3 linked regions of the Tamandua tetradactyla genome follow. The protein of the gene in region 3 binds, or shares a complex with, the protein of the main gene of each other region. Links are inferred from orthologs where the notes say so. Each region holds a gene or a part of one and is shown on either strand. Other genes may lie near its edges.

What was found.
Region 1: the proteins of NGFR (region 3) and TRADD are in contact, whole or in part, in an NMR structure (PDB 7CSQ), measured with the Homo sapiens proteins. The link is inferred for Tamandua tetradactyla from reciprocal best matches to the Homo sapiens genes NGFR and TRADD. Residues at the interface, in NP_002498.1 of Homo sapiens: Glu345, Glu346, Glu348, Lys349, Leu350, Asn352, Gly353, Ser354, Ala355, Glu379, Ala380, Cys381, Arg384, Glu420; in NP_001310481.1 of Homo sapiens: Thr201, Phe202, Asn211, Ala275, Glu276, Arg278, Arg279, Thr281, Gln283, Arg284, Glu287.
Region 2: the proteins of NGFR (region 3) and ARHGDIA are in contact, whole or in part, in an NMR structure (PDB 8X8T), measured with the Homo sapiens proteins. The link is inferred for Tamandua tetradactyla from reciprocal best matches to the Homo sapiens genes NGFR and ARHGDIA. Residues at the interface, in NP_002498.1 of Homo sapiens: Arg274, Trp275, Ser277, Cys278, Lys279, Gln280, Lys282, Gln283, Gly284, Ala285, Ser287, Arg288, Pro289, Val290, Asn291, Gln292, Thr293, Pro294, Pro295, Pro296, Glu299, Lys300, Leu301, Ile307, Ser308, Val309, Gln312, Ser313, Asp316, Gln317; in NP_001172006.1 of Homo sapiens: Ala8, Glu9, Leu11, Ala12, Gln13, Ile14, Ala15, Ala16, Glu17, Asn18, Glu19, Glu20, Asp21, Glu22, Val25, Pro30, Ala31, Gln32, Lys33, Ile35, Gln36, Glu37, Ile38, Gln39, Glu40, Leu41, Asp42, Lys43, Asp44, Asp45.

What each region holds. Positions count from the first base shown.
Region 1 is NC_135342.1:60,850,519-60,858,355, forward strand, and holds the start of TRADD (tumor necrosis factor receptor type 1-associated DEATH domain protein), read right to left. Parts: upstream 3,042-7,837; 5' UTR 2,837-3,041; coding exon 2,707-2,836; intron 2,168-2,706; coding exon 2,009-2,167; intron 1,121-2,008; coding exon 843-1,120; intron 736-842; coding exon 528-735; intron 410-527; coding exon 99-409; 3' UTR 1-98. UniProt on the Homo sapiens protein: Adapter molecule for TNFRSF1A/TNFR1 that specifically associates with the cytoplasmic domain of activated TNFRSF1A/TNFR1 mediating its interaction with FADD.
Region 2 is NC_135332.1:74,062,253-74,069,563, reverse strand, and holds ARHGDIA (rho GDP-dissociation inhibitor 1), read left to right. Parts: upstream 1-4,231; 5' UTR 4,232-4,338; intron 4,339-4,941; 5' UTR 4,942-5,010; intron 5,011-5,845; 5' UTR 5,846-5,872; coding exon 5,873-6,062; intron 6,063-6,170; coding exon 6,171-6,254; intron 6,255-6,483; coding exon 6,484-6,560; intron 6,561-6,635; coding exon 6,636-6,699; exon of another isoform or gene 6,700-6,876; coding exon 6,877-7,076; 3' UTR 7,077-7,204; downstream 7,205-7,311. UniProt on the Homo sapiens protein: Controls Rho proteins homeostasis. Regulates the GDP/GTP exchange reaction of the Rho proteins by inhibiting the dissociation of GDP from them, and the subsequent binding of GTP to them.
Region 3 is NC_135332.1:30,679,249-30,686,690, reverse strand, and holds the start of NGFR (tumor necrosis factor receptor superfamily member 16), read right to left. Parts: upstream 3,067-7,442; 5' UTR 2,966-3,066; coding exon 2,903-2,965; intron 1-2,902. UniProt on the Homo sapiens protein: Low affinity receptor which can bind to NGF, BDNF, NTF3, and NTF4. Forms a heterodimeric receptor with SORCS2 that binds the precursor forms of NGF, BDNF and NTF3 with high affinity, and has much lower affinity for mature NGF and BDNF.

The sequences.
Region 1 (7,837 bases), on a different chromosome or scaffold from region 3:
CAGGGAGTCAGCAGCAGTAGCAGAAGGCACCCTAGAGGCACTGAGGTGCTCCAAGCCCAGCCTGGCAGACTGCACCTTTCCTGGCATCAGTACCTGGCCTAGGCCAGACCGCCATCGGGATCAGCCAGGCCCAGCAGGTCCTCTGCCAGACTGGTGAGCTCGTTCTCCTCCAGCGCCTCCACCAGGCGCTGCAGCGTGGCGCGGCGGCCCTCGGCCTGGACGAAGCGCCGCAGCAGCTGGAAGGCCTGCTCATACAACCCCTCGCGCTCATACTCATAAGCCAGCGAGTCGAGCGCTGGGTCCCGCAGCGCCCGGCAACCACGCTGCAGCGAGCGCCCCACCTTGCGCCATTTGAGGCCCACTGAACGCGCAAAAGTCTGCTGGTCCTGCAGGCTCAGCGGCCGGTTCACTGCGGGAGAAGGAGAGTAGAGTGAGCAGTAGGGGGTGGCGGGGGGAGGTAGTCCACAGCCAATACCCTCCCCAACCTTACTCCTCCTGGCGACCCTGACTCTCTGTGCACGCCTTACCTACGGGGTGACCCTGGAACAGAAAAGTCTGGCCAGGTGACGGTGGCGGCTTCTCTGACCGGTAGGAGGCTGTGGACGGCGAGAGGACTGGGGACTGAGAGGGTGCGGGAGGGACCTCCACATCGCCACTCTGGCCTCCCGGGCCGCACGAGAGGCCACGGAGAGCATTCTCCAGCTCAGTAAGTTCCTCATCACGGAGCCGATCCGGCTAAGTAAGGGAGTGCGACGTCGGTAGGAATCTTGGGAGCGCAGCTCCCCCTCCCCTCCCCTCCACCCCCCACAACCCGCCCCATCCTAGACTCAGCGAAGCCACACCTTCTGGGTGAAAATGCAGTTCAGGCAGCGTTCCTCATCCGGCAGCAGAGCATCTAGCCGCTCGGCGCCGGCGCGCAGCTCCAGTTGCAAAGGCAGTGAGTTGCAGGCGAGCACTGCCGCCAAGCACCTCTGCAGCTCCGCGCGCAGCGCTCCCTCGCGGTATGCGCGAAGGAAGCGGCTACAGGGCTGGCGCCCGCAGAAACGCAACTGCACAATCAGCTGCGGGTCGCTACGGTGGATCTTGAGCATCTGTAGCACGTCCGGGTTCCCGCCGCTCTCTGCGGAGGCGGGCAGTCAGGAGCCCGGAGGTCCCCACGTGGGGTCATCCTCCGGGTGGCAGGAGGAGGGGCGAAGCCCGAGGTCAAATCCCCTCATCCCCAGACCTGGGGGGCTGTGGGGTTACCCCAGAACACTCAGGTGGTAAACAAGCTTGGGATGCAAACAGCAACAAGGCCTGGACCTATTACAGAACGAAGGCCAGGACCTATTACTGGGCGCACCCCAAGGCGGAGTGCCTACTACCCACCCCCATCTCTGAAGCCCCAAATGAGGATGAGCAAAAGGAACCTGGTGAGGGACTTGGCAGCATGGAGAGGGAAGTAGGGGACTGGTAGGACGGTGGAGGGGCGGGAGGTTTCAGTTCTTCCGCCTCAACCAGTGTGGTTCCTGCTGCCCGGGAAGGAGAGGGACTCTGGCTGCTCTAGGGCTGGGGCGACGTCCCCCAAATGGCTTCGGCCTCCTGTGGCCTCTGCCCTGAGATAGGAAAGGGGGACCACGAAGAGCAGACACTGGGGAGGAACCTTGGGCAAGGGGTGTTCCCCAAGAGGAAAAGGGGAAAAAGAGAAAAGTGCGATGAGTAGAAAGGAGTGGTCCTTCAGGCCTGGGGTGGGGTCAGCTGGGGTTGAGCAGGGGGATGTTAGCACACAAATAGGTAGAGCCTACACAGACACGGCCACACATGTCTCAGGCACACATGCCCTCAGCAGAGAAGACAAAACTTGTGTAGCCAGGGGTCTCCCCCAGATCAGATCTTTTCCCTAATTCACTGGCTGAGCTGGGGCCCACCAAACCTAGGAGACAGGGCCTCCGTCCCTGACTGCACCCACAGAGAACCCAGGCAGGGCACAGGGCCCTCCTCCTCTCCACACACCCACCCACCCACGCACCTGCCAGTGCCATCCGCAGGGCCCTGTACACGGCCACCTTCTGCTGGGGATGTGCATAGGCTTCAGACAGGACCGCTTTGTCCAGTGCGGACTCCACAAACAGGTATGCACTGCCCACCCACTCCTCAGGCCCATTCGGGTCAGCTGCCATCTCGGCTCCTGGAGACAAAGACAATCAGGGGCCCAAGTCACCCGCTCCCAGACCTGGAGGCAGATCTGACAAGTCCCACCTGGCCCAGCTGCCCCTCTGTGGCAGCCCTACCTTGCTGGTACACTTGGCAAGAGGGGTTCACCATCTGACAGGCAGCACCACGTGCCTCTGGCCCTGCAGAGCCCAGCCCAGCCTTGCAGTGAGAACTACCCCTTCCCTGCCTTCTCACAGGAAAAGCCCAGGGTCACGGTGGCAGGAGAGCAGAGATCTGATCCCACAGCGGAGGCTCTACCTCCTCCTCAGGTCCACCAGTCTCTCTTACTCAAAGCCAAGGATAGCATCCATGCCCTGGTCGTTCCCTCAGCTTAAACATGAGCTCCCCAGATCCCTGCGGGAACAGTCTCAACCTTAGACACTCGCACCTGCACTCCCACTACAACTGTTCTTCAGCCTCTTGGCTTCATTTCCAAGAATATCTGCACTTTGGTCCTGGGCAAAGTGCCCAGCCCTCTCCCAACACTGACTGACCTTTGGGCATTGCCCCTACCTCTTCTCACTCTTGGGAGAGTTAATTCCACTCCTAGGCTCCAGGTCTGGCCTGGTGTTGCTGATTTGAAGCTGTTATGTACCCCATAAAAAGGCCATGTTCTGTTAATCCATCCCTGTGGGGCAAACATTGTTGGACAGGACCTTTTGATTGGGCTGTTTCCATGGAGATGGGACCCAGGCCATTCAAGCTGAGTCTTAATCCCTTTGCTGGAGTCCCCATGAGAGGATAAAATGCAGATGAAACTCAGAGAGCTCAGGGAAGCTGAGAGAAATGCCCAGAGACATTTGGAGACAGCCACTGAAACCAGAACCAGACAGGACCAGCAGACGTTGCCATGTACCTTCCCATATGAAAGAGGAACCCCAGATGCCAGCAGCCTTTCCTCAGAGAAGGTATCTTCCTCTTGATGCCTGAATTTGGACATTTTTGTGGCCTTAGAACTGTACATTTTAACCTAATAAAACCCCATAGAAAAGCCAACCCGATTTTTGGTATACTGCCTTCCAGCAACTTTAGCAAACTGAAAACCCTGGCCATTCAGCATATTCCATCCCCTTTGTGCAGCAATGAACTCAGAGCTAAGCAGAGGACTCAAGTTGGACCAATCAGAATTAACCCAGCAACTCTGGCTGGACCAACAGAAAAGAGGAACTAGCATCCCTTCCCTTGGGGCTGAGCTGGTAGGAGGAGGTAAGTCTCTTTGGCCTTGCTTGGGGAGAGTCTGACTTAAAATGAATCCCACAAAGAGGGATAAGGAGTCTAACCACATTATGCCCCTAGATCCAGCTATCCCTGAAGCTGTTGTACCCTGGACTTCTTGCAACCTCATTCCTTTTTGTCCTAGAGCTGGGCTCTTGTTATTTGCAACACATATGGTTCTATTTCAGATTCTTTCCATGTCCAGCCAGAGAGCCAGGACCCCTTGGCACAGGTATCTCCTCCCTCTATCTTCCTGACAAAGGCCGGTCTTGACCAGGGATGAGGAGAGGGGAGTAAATTCACAAACAAGAAAGCAACATACTGACCCTCAGCTCAGCGACCTTCCAGTCACTGTCCCCTGAGGCAGCAGGTGGGGAACTGCCCTGCCTCTTTTCTCCTCTTCCCATCCAAGGCCCCATCCCACCTTTCTTGGAAACATTGGCTCCAGACTCCACCTCCTGTCCCCTCAGTCACACTCTCTTACTCTGGGTCTTCGGCTAGGAGGAATGCTGAGCCTTAGCTGTGAGTCACTGGATGTCCTTGCTCTCCACAGGACATTTGGGTGGCCCCAGCTGGTTATTTACAAGAGGGACAGGGAGCCTCAGAGGAAAGGACGCCAGAAAAGAGGAGCCAGAACCATAGCGTTGGACGTTTGGGGAGGGTGTAGGAGTCCTGAGCTCAGAGTAGAAATTGTGCCTCAGATCCCCCCGGACCTTAAGCTGAGTGCCAGAATTGGAGCGTAACCTGGTAGGGGCTTTCCACATTGCCCAGCTCCAGGCGAGAGAAAGGACCGCTGGTAATGGTCCTCCCTGCGTCTGATCACTGGTGACAGAATTCTTGAACCCCTCCCCCTGCCAATAACTTTTTGGTAGAAACATACTAAATGTTGTGTATTTACCCAAAACCACAATCTGGCAATGAATAAGAACTTAACATTATTGATCTCTGTGGAGTTGGGATTTGGGGTGACTTTTATTTTCTTTGTATCCAGCAGTATTTTCTACTTTAAAATAGACACATTTGTGTCTATTATTTAAACAGCAAAATAATATTTTTTTTTCTTTTTTCTGTGGGTTTCAGGGTAGGGAGGATGGACAGACGTAGGAAAGGAGGGTCATTAACAGACACTAACCAAAAGAACCAAGAGATGGGATAGCAAAATAATACTTTAAATAAAAACACAGAGACAAAAAACCTATATAAAGAAAACTACAAAAAACTGTTAAAAGAAATCACAGAAGACCTAAATAGATGGAAGGGCGTACCGTGTTCATGGATTGGAAGACTAAATATAGTTAAGATGTCAATCCTACCTAAATTGATTTACAGATTTAATGCAATACCAATCAAAATCCCAACAACATATTTTTCAGAAATAGAAAAACCAATAAGCAAATTTATCTGGAAGGGCAGGGTACCCCGAATTGCTAAAAACATCTTGAGGAAAAAAAACGAAGCTGGAGGTCTCGCGCTGCCTGACTTTAAGGCATATTATGAAGCCACAGTGGTCAAAACAGCATGGTATTGGCATAAAGATAGATATATCGACCAATGGAATCGAATAGAGTGCTCAGATATAGACCCTCTCATCTATGGACATTTGATCTTTGATAAGGCAGTCAAGCCAACTCACCTGGGACAGAACAGTCTCTTCAATAAATGGTGCCTAGAGAACTGGATATCCATATGCAAAAGAATGAAAGAAGACCCATCTCTCACACCCTATACAAAAGTTAACTCAAAATGGATCAAAGATCTAAACATTAGGTCTAAGACCATAAAACAGTTAGAGGAAAATGTTGGGAGATATCTTATGGATCTTACAACTGGAGGTGGTTTTATGGACCTTAAACCTAAAGCAAGAACACTGAAGAAGGAAATAAATAAATGGGAGCTTCTCAAAATTAAACACTTTTGTGCATCAGAGAACTTCATCAAGAAAGTAGAAAGACAGCCTACACAATGGGAGACAATATTTGGAAATGACATATCAGATAAGGGTCTAGTATCCAGAATTTATAAAGAGATTATTCAACTCAACAACAAAAAGACAGCCAACCCAATTACAAAATGGGAAAAAGACTTAAACAGACACCTACCAGAAGAAGAAATACGGATGGCCAAGAGGCACATGAAGAGATGCTCAATGTCCCTGGCCATTAGAGAAATGCAAATCAAAACCACAATGAGATATCATCTCACACCCACCAGAATGGCCATTATCAACAAAACAGAAAACGACAAGTGCTGGAGAGGATGCGGAGAAAGAGGCACACTTATTCACTGTTGGTGGGAATGTCAAAGGGTGCAACCACTGTGGAAGGCAGTTTGGCGGTTCCTCAAAAAGCTGAATATAGAATTGCCATACGACCCAGCAATACCATTGCTAGGTATCTACTCAAAGGACTTAAGGGCAAAGACACAAACGGACATTTGCACACCAATGTTTATAGCAGCGTTATTTACAATTGCAAAGAGATGGAAACAGCCAAAATCTCCATCAACAGAAGAGTGGCTAAACAAACTGTGGTATATACATACGATGGAATATTATGCAGCTTTAAGACAAGATAAACTTGTGAACCATGTAATAACATGGATGGACCTAGAGAATATTATGCTGAGTGAATCCAGCCAAAAACTAAAGGACAAATACTGTATGGTCCCACTGTTGTGAACGGACATTCGAGAATAAACTTGAAATATGTCATTGGTAACAGAGTTCAGCAGGAGTTAGAAACAGGGTAAGACAATGGGTAATTGAAGCTGAAGGGATACAGATTGTGCAACAGGACTAGATACAAAAACTCAAAAATGGACAGCACAATAATACCTAATTGTAAAGTAATCATGTTAAAATACTGAATGAAGCTGCATCTGAGCTATAGGGTTTTTTTTTGTTTTTGTTTGCTTGTTGGTTTGTTTGTTGTTGTTGTTTTTTACTATTACTACTACTTTTATTTCTTTTCTTTATATTAACATTTTATATCTTTTTCTGTTGTGTTGCTAGTTCCTCTAAACTGATGCAAATGTACTAAGAAACAATGATCATGCATCTATGTGATGATGTTAAGAATTACTGAGTACATATGTAGAATGGTATGATTTCTAAATGTTGTGTTAATTTCTTTTTTTTCTTTCCGTTAATAAAAAAAAAAAAAAAAAAAAAAACACAGTGGGGTGAGACTCTGCAGGTAACAAGTGGGGTGCCCTGAGGAAGTGGCCCAGGGACATCCAAGGGGAGAGGAGACAGTGGGAACCTACCGGCCCTTGAAACCTTTCCCCTTTGACGTCTTTCTAACCTGCTGACCGAAGGCTGTCGGAGAGAAGGGACGTCGTGGGAGAGGGGAAGGGCAGGAGCCTACCGGTCGGGTCTGCCAGGGGGGCGCGGGATACCTCGAGATTGGGGGACTGCCCAACACACTCACTAGGGCTCCGCAAATGGGGGAATGCAAACAGGGTTGCCGGGCTGGAGGTCGAGAGGGTCAGTTAACGGAGTAGAGAAGAGGCTGAGGGGCCCTCGGCTGCCATCGTCCCCTTGGAAGTTCCTTCCAACTTGTCCTTCCGTAGAATCCCCTCCTTGGGAAATCCGGAGCTCCACCCAAGGCGAGTCCGCTCCTCGGAGGAACCGGCTTAGGTTCCTGGGCTGGGTCTATGCCACCGACCCAAGAAAATCCACCCCTACCACCAAGGGCCCAGGAGTGCAGCTCAACAGTCCCGGGCATCCCACCTCAGGACCGGGCAGCCGCGGGTGACAACCACGCCGCGCCCACTCTTCGGAGCCCGGATTCCGCCTCCGCTCCTGGTGGCACCCGGGAGCCCACCCACCCTCCTCACTAACCTGGCCGCCTCCGCCGGGCCTGGGTTCCCACGCCCGCCCGGTTCCGCTCTGTCGGCGCCGCTTCCGTGTGTGCGCGCGGAGGCGCAGGGGCGGCGCCCCATTCCGGGCCGCCCAGTCCTCTAGTGCGTTCCGCCTCCCGGGTTCCCGGCAGCTCCTGCCCTTCCCACTATCCCCCTGCTCCGCTTTCCTCTGCGGCAGATCCCACGCCTCCCTGGCAAAATGGCCAGGGTTTTCAGTTTGCTAAAGTTGCTGGAAGGCAGTATACCAAAAATCGGGTTGGCTTTTCTATGGGGTTTTATTAGGTTAAAATGTACAGTTCTAAGGCCACAAAAATGTCCAAATTCAGGCATCAAGAGGAAGATACCTTCTCTGAGGAAAGGCTGCTGGCATCTGGGGTTCCTCTTTCATATGGGAAGGTACATGGCAACGTCTGCTGGTCTGTAGCGCAAGTAAGACACCGCACCCAAAGTTAGACAGCAGGAAGAACTGCCCGCAGAAACGGACTTCGAGGGCTTGCCGTTCTTACGAGGCGGGTGGCCCTAGGATGAGAGCAGCCGGGAGTTCTCGAGCAGGGTAACAGGATCAGAT
Region 2 (7,311 bases), about 43 Mb from region 3:
AAACTTTTGATTAGAATACTTCCACCGAGATGTGACACGCCCCATTGTGGGTGTGACCTTTTGATTAGATGGAGATGTGAATCATCCATTTCAGATGGGTCTTAATTAGTTTACTTCGGTCCTTTAAAGAGGAAACAATTTTGGAGAGGGCTCAGAACAGAGACATGGATGTTTGGAGATGCTTGGAGCCCAGCAGATGTCACCATATGCTTTCCCATGAGATGTTAAGTGAGCCAGAACCTGGAGAGAGCCAAGGGAAACCAAGAGATGAAAGCCAGCCCAGGAGAAGCAAAGCGATGAAGTGCCCACAGGAACAAAGACCTAAAGCAAAGGAGCCTAGGGGCACAGGAGCAGCAGATGCCAGCCACGTGACTTGGCAGCTGACAGAACTGCTCCAGACCCACTGGCTTTTCTTAAATTAAGGTCTCTTTCCCTGGATGCCTTAGTTTGGACATTTCTATGGTGTTAGAACTTTAAGCTTGTAATATAATAAATTCCCTCTTTAAAAGCCATCCATTTCTGGTATATTGCATTCCGGCAGCTTAACAAACTAAAACATGGGCCCAACCACACCTGGCTTCTTCCACGCCCAAAAGACACAAGCACCAAAAAGGAGATGAGAGGCACGTTATCCAAGTGCAAAGTGTGGGGAATAAACCAATCGGGAAAAAGGCTGGGGGCTCGGGTAAAATTGAGTGTGTGGATGTCATGGTCAGGTTCATGTGTCAACTCGGCCAAATGATGGTTGGGCAAGCGCTGGCTTGTCTGTTGCAATGAGGACACTTCAAAGAATTAAATCATGAGCATGTCAGCTGCCTCCACAGCTGATTCCATTTGTAATCAGCCAAAGGGGCGTGTCTTCTGCAATAAGTGATGCTTAATCTAATCACTGAAAGCCTTATAAGGAGGATTCAGAAGAAACAGGCTTCCAGTTTCAGCTGGCGAGCCTCTCCTGTGAAGTTCGTCCAGACCCTCAGAATCGTCGCCTTCACAGCCTACTCTGCGGATTTGGACTCTGCGTTCCCACGGTCACATGAGACACTTTTATAAATTTTATATTTGCGAGTGTTCCCTGTTGATTCTGTTTCTCTAGAGAACCCTAACTAATACAGTGGATTACCTGATAATATTAAAGCTTTTTTTTTTTTTTTAACTTTTATTGTGGGAACATTTACAATGTATGTAACATTTCCCACTTTAAGCCCTTTGAATTCTACAATTCGGTGTATTGATGGCATTCATGGTGTGAGCTCCCATCTCCACTGTCCCCACCCTGTAAGGGATAGTGAGGAAATCAGAAGTCCAGTGGCTGCACAGTGACCTGTTCCCCAGCATGGCCCCGGGTATCAGATCCCCTGCTATACAAAGCAGCACCGACCATCCTTGTAACTAAACCTTTGCACACAACTGTGATTTGTTTGGACTTTTATTTTGATCTTTATGGTGACATAACAAAGTTATGAGCATGACATAACTTTGAAGGGCCCACTTCAGTGGCCCCTCACCACCATCCATCAGCGGCATTTGCCCAACACTGCAAAACCATCCAGCACTTTCCTCCAGATGGATTCCATATGACCTGCTGGGCAGGTCAGCCTGGCAGCACCTGCATCCTGCATGCTCACAGCACTTGGAACTTTTTTTTTTTTAATACCAATTTGATAGAAGGCTCAAAATAGTGTCACTTGTCCACTGTGATGATGTGAAAGCAAAGCACCACCTCACACCCAGAGGATCTTGGGTCCTGGAGGGCTGGCACAGCCTGCAGGAAGCAGACAAAAGCCATGTGCCTGCACACTGGAGCACGGGCAGGCGCCAAGACACCACAGGACCAGCGATTGTCCTTCCAGCAAGGCCAGGAGACACAGAAAGGACCAGCCTCTTGGTCAGCTCATCTCAATGTTGGCAATTTACCTCTGTTCTCATTCAAACAGGAAGTAACAAACTCCAGGCATTCGAGGAGAGCTGGCTGCAACTACAACATGACGAATTTTTGTGAATTTTCTTGGTGTTCTGGGTACACCTCACAGCTCAGTAGTGTAAACCAGCTGCTGTTTTGTGATGCCAGATTCTGCAGGTGGTGAGGTGAGAGGCCAGGTAGGGGCCTCTGCGCAAGCCAGGGTGTGGGGGTAGGTCCACGCTAGACCACCTGGCTCTTATGTCTCAGGTTTTGGGATTGCGAGAAGCAAGGTCCAATGGCCTCCTGGTTGCCTGGATGTGCTTTGGTGCCAAGTCCCTGGAGCCAGCATGGGATGCAACCTCTGGAGGCCTTGGAAGGAGTGACTACTTTATGCATAAGGGGAATGTGAATAATTTGCAGTTCCATTAAAGGTCACACATCCTTGGCTTCTCTTCCTGATGAGCCCTCCCACCGGGGCTGGCCTGGGCCATGGCTCAGCCTGCAGAGGCGTGGTTCTAGCTCTTCTAAAGTGAAGTTGCAGAAGTCTGATGAACTTTCATTTTGGAGCCCTGCCCTGAAGGAGAGGCCTAACTCCCTTGGGAAGAGGACCTGTCGGGGGGCCCCCAGTGAACAGTGGGAGCTGCCAGCAGGGCACCGAGCTTTCAGACACAGACCTTTGGGTGGCTCCAGCACAGTTCCCATCTGACTGCAATGGGGCGAACAACCCAACAGAGTTGACTTGACCCAGAGAACACGAGAGAATGAGGCATTACTGCTTCAAGCCACCACAGTGGACTGGCTTGTTACGTAGCTGAAGATGTTCCTGAAACAGGTGGAGGACGTGGCTATTGTTTAAAAAAAAAAAAAAAAAGCTTTTTCTTGTAAACTGGCCCTGAAACATCTATGCTTGACGAGAAGTCTGAGATTTGCTTCCAGGTTGCGGTGCATGGGAGGAAGGAGACTGGCTACGAGGAGCAGCTGTGGGAGCTCGGGCCAGGCCCACTGGGTTCGGGACACACTAGTCTTTCTACCTCCGTGGAGGTGGTGGGCAGCTTCTAGGGTGGCCCTGGGGAGCCCACCTCTGGGAGCTGATGTCCTTGCCTCCCGTGTGACCAGGAGGCTGGGGCAGAAGTGATGGCCGGCACTTCCAAACGCAGGGACGAGATCGAGTGCCTGCTTGTTCTCTCTCTGTGGCCTGCAGCCCATAGCCATATGAGTGGCTTGGAAGTGGATCCTCTGGGTTTGGCTCCTCGGAGACCACAGCTTCCAGGGAGACCCTTAGCCAAGGACCCCCCAGCTCAGCTGCTCCAACCTCAAGCCAGATAATAAACGGTGGTTGTAAGATTCTAACTTTCAGGGCAGTTTTTCATCCAGCAATCTGTCACTAATAAAGTGTATTAGGAAATGTTCTATCCTAGAGGTGTGTGTGTGTGTGTGTGTGTGTGTGTGTGCTTGTGTGTGTGCAAGCATTTGGGTTACCAGGCAGCGGACTTCCTCAAGCAACTAATGACTCAAACAGGAGTACCAGCTCCACTGGAACATTCAGCCTCTACGGCAGCAGCGGGGAAACCTCAAAAGCAACTTCACCATCCAAAAGAAAGGAAGCCTTGCTTTTGGCCCGGCTAAACTCCCTGCGCTGCCAACTCTTAGCCCAGAAGATCCCAAGATAGTCCTCAATAATCACAAACGTTCCAAAAGCAACCAAGGTCAGTATCTGTCCAGCACTCTCGCAGAGACTGCTCTCGGGTGCTGAGTTTCCGAGGCGGGACAACACAGGTGTGCGTGTGCTGTGCCGGCGTCTGCCCGAGCCCGGGGAGGGTGGCCTGTCCAGAGCCAGGCCGTGGCCCTGCTACCCGCGGCCGGACAGCCAGCAAAGAACGCTCTGGTCCGTCCTGGGTGCTTGAGGGATGGCCTACTGTAGTACCGTACGCAGGGCGACATCTCCCGTTTCAAGGCACTGTTTGATTGCGATTCTGCCGAGGGCCGAGGTGAGAGCGTGGGGCTTGTACCGGGCGGGTCGGCGGGCGGCAGGGTTCCCGGGGGTCCAGGGGAGGGAGACAGCAGGACGGCCCGCGGCGCTGGCGAAGAGCACGCTAGGCCCAGGGCCTGGGCAGGAGCCGGCCCGCAGCTTCCGGGCCCGGAGGAAAAGGCACAGGCGGCGGTAGGGGGCGGTCCAGCTGCCGGCAACCGAGCGCCCCTCCCACGCGCAACGCCGGCCTACGGCCTTTTGGGGTACCGAGGCCTCCCCGCCGCGCGTACTCGCGGCCCTCAAGATGGCGGCGCGCGCCCCTGCCGCCCGCGCATGCGCCCTCGTCGACCCCGCCCGGCCGGAGCGGAAGTCGCGTGACCCCGGAAGTGACCGCGGGCGCGGGTGGGGCGGCGGCGACGTTCGTCATTCGGTGCGGAGGGAACGCGAGCGCCCGCGATCGAAGCCTCCGGTGGGTGCCCGCCGGCGCGGGGCGCGGGGACGAGGGGGCCCGGGAGTCAGGGGCGGTGCCGCGGGCGGTGGCGGCGGGCGGGGCGGGACCGCCTTTGTTCTCGCCGCCCCCGCGCCCCGCCCCACGGCGGCCGCCCCGGGGTCCAGGCGGGCGCGGGGCGCGCAGGGCCGGCGGGGCTGGGGCTCGCGGGGTGCGGGCAGCCGCCACGTGAGGAAAGGGGGCGGCGAGGCCCTTCTTTGGGCGGCACGTCTGCAGCTCCTAGCTGGGCCGGGCGGGGCCTAGGGCGCGCCCCTCCCCTGGGAACGGAGCGCGCGTGGGCGCCCGGCCGGGGTCGTGGTTCCCCTGTGCTTCTCGCTAGCGATCCCGCGGCCTGGGGCGGTGTCCCGAGCCCCTCTCCTCGGGCCTCCGTGCCCCGCCCGGCCGCGCCCGACCGCGCCCGGTCGGGATTGCTGCGCTCTGCGCGGAAGATCGTGCCCCTGGGGCCGAGGGTGCCCTGCGGCTACGCTGCTCCAGCGGGCGAGCAGGAGGCCTGGGAAGGGCTTGGGCCACCCCCGGCAGGCGGCAGCTCGCGGCCCCATGACACTGAATCCTTAATGTTGGCAGGTCTGCTCCGGGCTTGTCGCCTCCCGAGTGCGCCGAGATCTCGTGGCTCCCACTGACCGGAAGGATCGAGTGAGTGGGTTATAGAGAGAACTGCTGGGTTCCTCAACGGTGGTAGCGGTATCCTAGCAGGGAGTACGCTGCCCCGGACTTCCTGGGTCCTGAGAGGTCTGAGTGGTCCCCGCGGTTTCTCAGGCCTTGGTCACAGACTCTCACAAATGGAGAGGGCCTTGGCAGAAGCCCGGGGCCCCCACTCCCCTGAGACCCCTGCAGGGCTGGAGCTTTGTCTCTGGCTGCGGCTGGGGGAGGGACAGCATCCGTTGCCAGGAAGACCTAGTTCAGTGACCTGTGGGGGTGGGGGTATCACTTGGCATGTGTGAAGCAGCAACAGGGCCAGGGGCTTGGCTGGCGTGGGAGATGATTTAGCTCGAGGCCTACCAGTCGTGGGGTCCGGGGCCCACCTAGAGCCCCCTGTGCTGCACAGGAGGGCTGTGGGGCTGGGAGACCAGCCTGGCCTGGGTCATGTGGTATCCATGGCAGTGGGATGAAGTAGGGTGTGACCTGTGTCCTGCTGTCTCTTGATGCCAGAGGATGCCCATGGAGTCCAGGTGTCACGAATTGGGGTGGGCTCTGGACCACCCAGCAGAGCTGCCTGAGACAAGCAGGGCAAGGGGGTGCCCCCGTGTCTCAGGCTGTTCCTCTGGTGACTGGAAAGCTCAGCTGCAGAGGGAGGCCCCCTCGGGGCCCTGTGTGGCGAGGCCAGCTCTGCCGATGGCCCTCTTCAGCACAGTGCTAGCCGAGCTGGCAGCCTGGCCTGCAGCAAGGGCTGGAGGTGGCCCCAGTTTGACAGACTAGCAAACAGCTATATCAGAAGTCCAGGCTGCCACAGCCCAGTACTGTGCCCCAGGTGTCCCCGACCCGGCTCGTGGTGAGCATGGCCGAGCAGGAGCCCACGGCCGAGCAGCTGGCACAGATTGCAGCCGAGAATGAGGAGGATGAGCACTCGGTCAACTACAAACCCCCCGCGCAGAAGAGCATCCAGGAGATCCAGGAGCTGGATAAGGATGATGAGAGCCTCCGCAAGTACAAGGAGGCCCTCCTAGGCCGCGTGGCCGTGTCTGCTGGTGAGGCCCCTGCGGCCCCCTCCAGGGACACCTGTCACCCCATATTCCCACACTGCACCCCACCTCTGTGCAGAGGGGTGGAGTTCTGACTACCTGTCTTTCTCCTAGACCCCAACGTCCCCAACGTTGTCGTGACCCGCCTGACCCTGGTGTGCGGCACTGCCCCGGGCCCCCTGGAGCTTGACCTGACAGGTGAGGGTGCTGCCTGCTGCCGTGCTGCTATCCCTAGGGCCTGCTGCCCCCTGCTGGGAAGCTGAGCAGGTGCAGCCCGGCGGGCTGAGCCTTGGCTTTGTGAGCCAGGATACTGCCGGTTGCAGGGGGCCCTGCATGGGCCGGGTGGTGGTGGGTCCCAGGTCTAACAGGCAGCGGGGAGCTATCCTGCTCTGAACTTTTTGCTGATGCGTGTTCTCCTTTTGTCTAGGTGACCTGGAGAGTTTCAAGAAAGCGTCTTTTGTGCTTAAGGAGGGGGTGGAATACCAAATAAAAATTTCTTTCCAGGTAAGGCAGGGGCCGGGGGACCTCAGGGGGTGAGGCCTGGAGAAGCCCCCTGACCCTCTACCGGCATCCTTGCAGGTGAACAGGGAGATTGTGTCCGGCATGAAATACATCCAGTACACGTACAGGAAAGGGGTCAAGAGTGAGTGTGGGCAGTGGGCCCCGGCTGCCTGGGAGGTGATTGGCCCTGCAGGGAGTGGGTACAGGTGCCTGACGGCTCTGGGACCCGCAGGAGTGAGAGGCAGGGCTGTGCGTGTGTGTCCCTGTGGATGTGCCTTCCCGTCCCCATGCTCACTGCTGTCCTCCCCCTCGGCCACAGTTGACAAGACTGACTACATGGTGGGCAGCTACGGGCCCCGGGCAGAGGAGTACGAGTTCCTGACGCCTATGGAGGAGGCACCGAAGGGCATGCTGGCCCGGGGCAGCTACAACATCAAGTCGCGCTTCACAGACGACGACAAGACTGACCACCTGTCCTGGGAGTGGAACCTCACCATCAAAAAGGAATGGAAGGACTGAGGCCAGGCCTGGGAGGCGGCAGGGACGGACAGACATACCCCATCCCTCTCTATCCTCCCTGTCCCCATCCCCAGACCAAAGTGCTGACAGGGCCACCCCTTTGCCGCCTGCCCTTGCCCCATCTGCCTCCCGGCCGAGCTCTCCCAACCCTCCCTGCACCCCTCCCCAGCCCGCAGGCCCTCCCCCCCACCTCATGGTGGTCAAGTGTCACGTTGCTGCTTCTGCCTGTGTTCTG
Region 3 (7,442 bases):
TTGAGGTTGAAGGAAATCCAGGGAAGGCATGAGTGTTGAGGTGTTGATTGGGGTGGGGGGTGGGAGCCGCAAGCTAATGACCTGGGATGATACTGCATGTATATTTGAGGGGAGGTAGGGAGGCTCTGGGTGGAAAGAAGGGGAATTAGATTCCAAATTTGTGGTACCAAGGACTTGAGCATGGATCCAGTTTCCGGAGTTGGTCGCCATTCACGGCCACGCATCGCCATGACTAGAAGGGAGGTGCTAGCCTGGCGTAGGACGGAAGAGTGGATTCAGAGCCAAACTCCTGGGTTCCAACAAGGGCCCACCACTCGCTCGCTGGGAGAGACTGTTCTCCTGCCTAAAGAGTCTGGGAGGTCCAGCTTCCTCCAATGTAAGATGGGAGTAACTCTGCTGGGACTTTACAGGGATTACATAACGCAAGAGAAAGTCCTCAGGACATGCGTGGCACATAGTAGGTATTCAACAAATCGTATTATTTTCGCCTGCCCATCCACGCCCCCTCGGGAAGAAAAGAGGAGCGTGAGCGCGACTGGGCTGCTACAACCGGGTGGGCCCCCCCCCCCCCCCAAGCCCGGCCTCTCCCGCCTGCCCATTTGCTGCCTTAGCTGCATCCCTATTAGGCGCATTAGCCAGCCCGGCGGCTCCGGTTACAGACGTCTGAATGACAAAGTGCCTCCATTACCGGCGCGTCCCGCCAGCCCAGCCGCGGGGAAGCGCTCTGGTTTCAGCACTCTCTCGCCGCGGCCCAGGAAGAAACCTGGACGGAGGCAATGCGCTGTCGGCTCACACAGGGCAGCCCCGGCGTCGAGGCTGCAGGTGGCGGATTCTGCGCAGGACTCCACTTCCCGAGGCCGCAGGCCCTCCACACCCAGCTGCCTCCCTCCTCTTCTCTCCTCTACTTGGGAGCCACACTCCTGCCGGGATCCGGAGCCGCCCCTCCTGGATCCACGCCACTGGCCGCCCCAGTACCCCCCTCACCCCGCACCAGAAGCAGTTCCTCCGGGAAGCATTAGTCAGCAACCATGCCCGCAGTCAATCCCAAGTCCCAGGACGAAGCCACAGGTACTGACAGCTCCAGGGGACCAGGGCTAAGATTCAAGGATGGGGCCCGCGTCCGGAGAGGGTCCCTGCCTACCACACCCTTATATTCCACTGCGGACCTGACTTTGAGAGAGGTGTCAACCTCGGCCCCCCTCAACCCCCCACCCCGAAACGCAGCTCTTATCCCGGGCTGGGGAGCCAGCTGCCCTTAAGGGGTGGGGGGTGCAAGGTTCTGAGCTGGAAATCAGGTGATGGGGCGTTTACTTATGACTCTGCCCCAACTTGCTTGTGGGATCTTGACCAAGTCGTTTCAATCCTTAGAGCCTCAGTTTCCTTCTCTGTGAAACGGGAAGTCGGGGCGCGATGCTCAGGTGAGAGATGAAGATGGCAAGGGGAGAGTGAGGACGCCGCCTTCACTGCCAGACCTTCCGGGGCACTCAGTTTATAGCCACACACTAGATCACATTTCCTGAAAACCTTGTCAGAATACTGGGAAGACTCAGAAGCTTCGAGGACCCGCCGTCCTTTGCCGAGTTGGTGCTAAAGGACACGGCCAAAGAATCCAAGGCGTCCTGGCGCCCCCATCTCGCTCGCCCGACGGCGTCCACCCAAAACCGGGCGGGGCGCAGGCGGGATCCCGACCCTTCTAGGTGCACTCACGGAACTCGGGGGGGGGGGGCGGGGCGGGGGGGGCGGGGACGGTGCGCGGTCTTAGGCTCGGACGCAACTCGGGGTGGCACAGCTGTCGCGCCGCAGCACCCCCTGTGGGCCGCCTGCGGTCTACGCGGCCCGACACCACGCTGCCCCGATGGTCCCCGCCTAGAGCGCCGCGCTCTTTGCACCCCGCGGGCCGCCGCGAGACCCACTCGGGCGACGCCCGCTCCAGACCTCCTGGTCCTCCGCCCGGCTTCAAACCGCGAGACCCCGCGCGCCGCTGGAGCCCGCCGGCCGTGGGGGAACCCGGAGAGCGAGCTGGCCCCTGCGAAGTGGGCGCCCCCCTCGCCGCCCCGGCTGCCCAGCCGCAATTCGCAGACTAGGCAAAGCTGCGAGAAAGAGCGCGGGAGCCGGGCGGAGAAACGTCCCATGTCTCCTGCGCATCCGTGTCTCCGATCTTCCTTCATGTCCCTCGGCGGGCAGACGGGACCCCGACCGCGTTAGGGTTCGCACCCTGTTCTCGGTCCTCTTTTCTTTTGCTTCCACCTCTTCACTGCCTTCACCATCGTCCCTTTTCCGCCCTCCCAACCCATCCGTACTCCCTCCTCAACTGCCCTCGCGCTCTCGGAACCTCTCCCCCCGACGCCCCTCCCCGCCATTGTCTGGCAGGTCCCCATTGTCCGATGCCCGGTCCCCTCTGCCTCTCGTCCCTTCAGCCTCTTCCCTCATTGTTCCATCCCCGCGTCTCCGTTTCTCTGCCCCAGGCTCCCTCGTCCCTCCCATCTCCAGTCCCGGTCCCATTCCCTTCCCTTCGCCTCACTTCGGTCCCACCACCTTGCAGTCCCCTCGAGATCCCGTCATTCCTAAGCCCTCTTCGGAAGAACTCAGGCAGCCAAGAGCGCCCTGACCCTCTGCTGAGACGCCCCTCTCAGCTCCTCCCGCATCCTCCCGCAGTACCCGAAAGCAGACATCTGCGCGCCCGTCTTGTCCGCATTTCTAGCCTGGAACCCAGAGACGCCTCTACGCTGGGATAACCCCAGACGCTCCTCTGAGGCTCCGGCATCGGAGCCCCTCTCCCGCCACCCACCTCCAGCATCTGGGACCCCAACACTCTGTTCTTTCTCTCGGGTGGCGGCTCCCGGATCCCCTCGGGATTCCGATTCGTGGGACGGAAGCGGACTCCCCTCCGACTATCACTCACCCCCAGGAGCAGCAGCAGCAGGCGTGGCCCGTCCATGGCGCGGCTGACGGCACCTGCCCGCATCGCCCGCCTCCCGCTGCAGCGCGCGTGTTCCAGCTCAGTCCGCTCCGCGGACCGGTAGGGTTGCGCTGCGCCCCAGCGCCCGCCTGCCGGCCGGAGCTGGCTGAGCCTCGGCTCGCTCTGACTGCCGGCGGGAGGGGCTGGGTGAAGCCAGTGCGGCCGCCCCGCCTCTTCCCCGCCCAGCCCGCCCACCCCCGGAACCGCGCCCGCCCGCCCCGCCGCCTCCGGGAGGGAGCCAAGGGGAAAGGAGGGTGTGCGGAGAGCCGCGCCCGCGCGCCCCGCTGCCGCTTCTCCGCGCGTCCTGGGCCTCAGAGCCTCTCACCCACTCCGCCCCGGTACCCTGTGCCCGGCTCGCGCTATTGCGCGTGGCCCGCAAACTACCCAGGGTCTAGGGCGTCCCCACTGTGGCTCGCGTTTCTCTCCGGCTGTGGCCCTCACGGGGTTCTCTCTCTTACCCACCTTCCTCCGCCTCTAGCTTCGCTTCCCCTGCTCCCTCCCCAGCAGTTATCAGTAGCGGTGCCCACTTCGCGCCACGCCTATCTCGCGCCCGCCCCAGTGCGGTGTTCTCTGTGCAAGGGCCTAGGGGGAGGGAGGGATGGCAGGTGGCCCGAGCCTGTGCGTGTGTGTTTGTGCGCGCGCTTTGCGGGGCCATACAGGAGAGGCCCGCCCCGACATCATTCAGATTCTCTAGTGATGGGTTTGAAGGGATCACAAGTAGGTGTGCACACAAAACACTGGAATACACACACATACACTCTCGAACTCACATCTATTTGTGTTCCCACACTCACATAAGCCCACACCATCCTCTTGCACACGTGTTCACCTGCACGTTCTACACGTTTGGTGAATGGGAAACCGCGAACATGCATATGCATCTCCACATGTCTGCACACACACACGCACTCTCATTGCACATGGAGACATAGCATTCAAATGCACATACTCATCTACACAGCCACATGCACGGATACGATGCCACACATGTATGGTCACATGAACACCGGCCGTCGTATGTTTATAGTCTCTCATACGTGCACACATATTCATGAACACACACACACCCATACACAAACACACAGATGCATCCTTAACAATATAGACTTCACTGAACCGTTTTCATTAGATCAAAAGCTAATCATCTAATGAACGTTGCCTTCTTGTCTGAATGTCTGGTACATAGTAGATGTTCAATATTGAAGTTCTGTAGGATGGAAGAAAAGGATAAGCGGTTGGACAGACTCACAGAGAGATACACTCTCTCTCTCCATGTGTCCATGTACTATGTAGGTGCAGGATGAGGGCGGGAGTCTCCAAGCAGAGACAGTTTCTATCCCCAGGACCACACTCACCACGCTCTAGAGAGCTCTACGGGCCCACATCAAAGAACCTCCACCCAGGGGCTGTGCTGAGGGAGCAGTCTCTGCTGCTCACTTCCTGTCTGTCCTCATCCTTTCCCCGTCTCCAGATATGCAGGCTCTGGAAGACAGAGCGTGGGGAACAAGTCTACAGAACCCACCCACCCCCTGCGTCCTGATTTGGCCATGCCTAGACCTCAGTTTCTTCTTTGGAAAAATGGCACCAGCTTCCCAAATCACAGGAATGTGGGGAGATCAAGAGCACTGGCGAAGAGGGCCTGCTATCACTTGTTAGGTGATTTCTTAGATCAGCTGAAGTTCATTCATGCATTCACAGAAAAACGAAGTTCGCCCTCTGAACTTCTTTCCCAAATACCTAGCAAAGTCTGGGGAACAGACCCGGGAGGGACAGGTGGGCAGCATCTAATGGCCTTGAGCCCCACTCTTGGTGATGAACCCTTGTCTCCGTCTTTGGGTATAAGAGCTTGGACAGCCAGCATTGACTCAGCGGTCCCTGAGGCTTTTCTCTTGGACAGAGACGGTCTCTAAGATGTCTGCTCCTCCTGCTGCTTTTACTGACCTGCCTTTTCCCTCAGTGGAATTCGTGGAAAGCAGAAAGGGGCAACATTAGTACTAACGGCAGCGTCAAGCTGCCGACTACCAAGGGTATCGATGGTGTGGCATCAATTTAAATACTCCTGTTATTAATTTATGACTGGTTACTATTATTGCCAAGGTTATCCATCTCAACACCATTTAATATGACCCACAGTACCATGACTGGGCCTGGCTTATTAATAATTTCCATCGCCTTGATCATTTAAGCCTTACTCCAACAATCACAAACAGCAATTGTTCCTATTATTAGCAGTATTTCTATGATTAAGCCTGAGCCCAAGACCACGATGTAATGCTGAGTGCTGGCGGGGAGAGGGGTGTGCAGAGGAAAAACCAGCAGCCTGGATTCAGGGCTGGGTAGGAAGGCCTGCCCTGTTCCCCCCTGCTTCCTCCTGTGTGGTCGCAGGCAGGTTACTTCACCTCTCTCAGCTTCTTCACTTCTCAGGTGAAGAAGCTTCACCTCTTCTCAGCTTTCTTAATGAGAATTTAAGAAAAGCTCCCATTCTGAAGGGCATGATGAGAAATAAAAGAGGTAACAGAGGTTCATCACAAGGAGACACTCAATCCCCTTTTATTCATTTGACGCATTTATTGAACACCTACTGTATGCCATGCTCTCTGTTTTAGGCCCTGGGGATTCAGTGGTGGACAACAGCAATGGCCTACGTGGAGCAGATTTTCTAGTGTGTTAGTTACTGGACGGGAAGGGTTGTTTTATAATGTGACACCTCGGCCTGACCATACCACGGCTAGCCTAGCTCCGATGAGGATATTCTGTCTCTGGGACCACCACCGTCACCCCAGCCACCACAGCACCCTCTCCATAGTCACTCCCACCACGACTGCCCCTGCCACGGCCACCCCCACCACCTCATCAACCTCCCTGCATCGGTTCCACCACTAGCAGTGGGGATTCCTGTTCCAGGTGAGAGTGATATGGGTGTTTGGGTTCCTTTCCCTGGGAACAATAGTGGAGGCCCCACAGAGCCTTTGCCTGCCCACGTCTAGCTCCCTAGTGGTCTTAACTCCTAGCCCCCACATGGGCGCTCTTCAAAAACTTCTCCCTGGCCTGGCAAGTCCCACACTCTCCCAACCCCCCTTTCCTCCAAACTGCAGTACCTGCAGTCACAGACCAGGATGGGGATGGGATGCAGGGAGAGGGATCTTAGGAGTTGGCCAGAAAGTGGGGCCAGAGAGGCAGCTCCAAGGGGCAGGAGCTTTCCTGGAGGGTCCCCCAGAACCAGCACCCATAATATAACTACACATATAGAGGGTCACTTCCCCCACTATACCCCCCACCCAAGGCTTCCTGAGCCCAATAGTGACTAAGGTGAAAGGGTTGAGGATATCAGTGCAGTTCTGCGTGGAACTGGGAGTGGAAGTGGGGGGTCAAACTACATCTTCAGGTATCCACATGGGAGGGGCTAGCCACTCCCCTATCCCCCTCACCACCCTACCTTCACCCTGCCCATCTAAGGAGGCAAGCTCCCCCGTAGTACTCCCTGCCATCCCATTCTATTAGACTCCCACCTCAGCTCTCTTTCCCTCTATGCCCTCTGTCTCCAGCTGATTGGAGAAATCAGCTTGGAGGCCCCAACCCACTTTCAAGCAGAAACCGGAAAGCAGATAATGAGACTTCATGAGTGTTGAAACCCCCAACGGGCCAAGAGATCCACCCAATCATTTCCCTTAATCCCCACTGCAACTCCGTGGAGGAAGTTCTAGGCCACCATTTTACAGATGAGGAGACCGAGGCTTAAAGTGATTTAGCCACTTGCCCAAGAGCCCCCAGCAGGAAGCAGCAGTACCACAGTACCACGAGTGGCCACTGTGCCTCACAAGGTGCTCTCCCCCCTCCCCCCATCACACTCTCCCCATTAACCCCTCATCTCCAGGTCACTCCTCCCCTCCATCCCAGCCCCTCCAGCCTTCGCCCCTACTCGATGGGTGGGGTGGATAGGACCTCCATCTCAGAGGTGCTGAGCTCCACCCTTGCATACTGCTCAGATTTTGGCTTTGGGGGCCTGGGTAGGATGGGCAGGGCCGAGCCGGGAAGTGATCTGTGCCTTTTGATTAAAGGCATAATCTCCAAACTTTCTTAGTGGGCGCTCTCTTTTCCTGATTTGGGAGGAATCACCTCCCCTATCCCCCACTTCCAATGTCCAGCCAGAAAAGGCATGAAGGGAAGTGGATAAGGAGAATTTTCAAGGGAGAGAGACAAGGGAGAGGGAAGGAGGAGGTGCCGGGCCTCCCCAGCTGCATCCAATCTGCCCTGGGCAGGTGGCCAGGCAAGGTAAGTGAAACCCACCGCCCCCCATGAGGAGCTGGCTCAGTGGCTTTGAAGCGTGATGCAGTGATTACCTTTGGGGGGGGGGAGGTGCGGTCTGGGGACTGGCTTGGGATCAGTGCGGTTTAATTCTGGAGCTGAATTAGTAGTGAGAGGGGTGGGAGGAATTAGTCAATTTTGGAGTCCAGTTAGATTAACTCAAGCGTCAAAGTGGGCT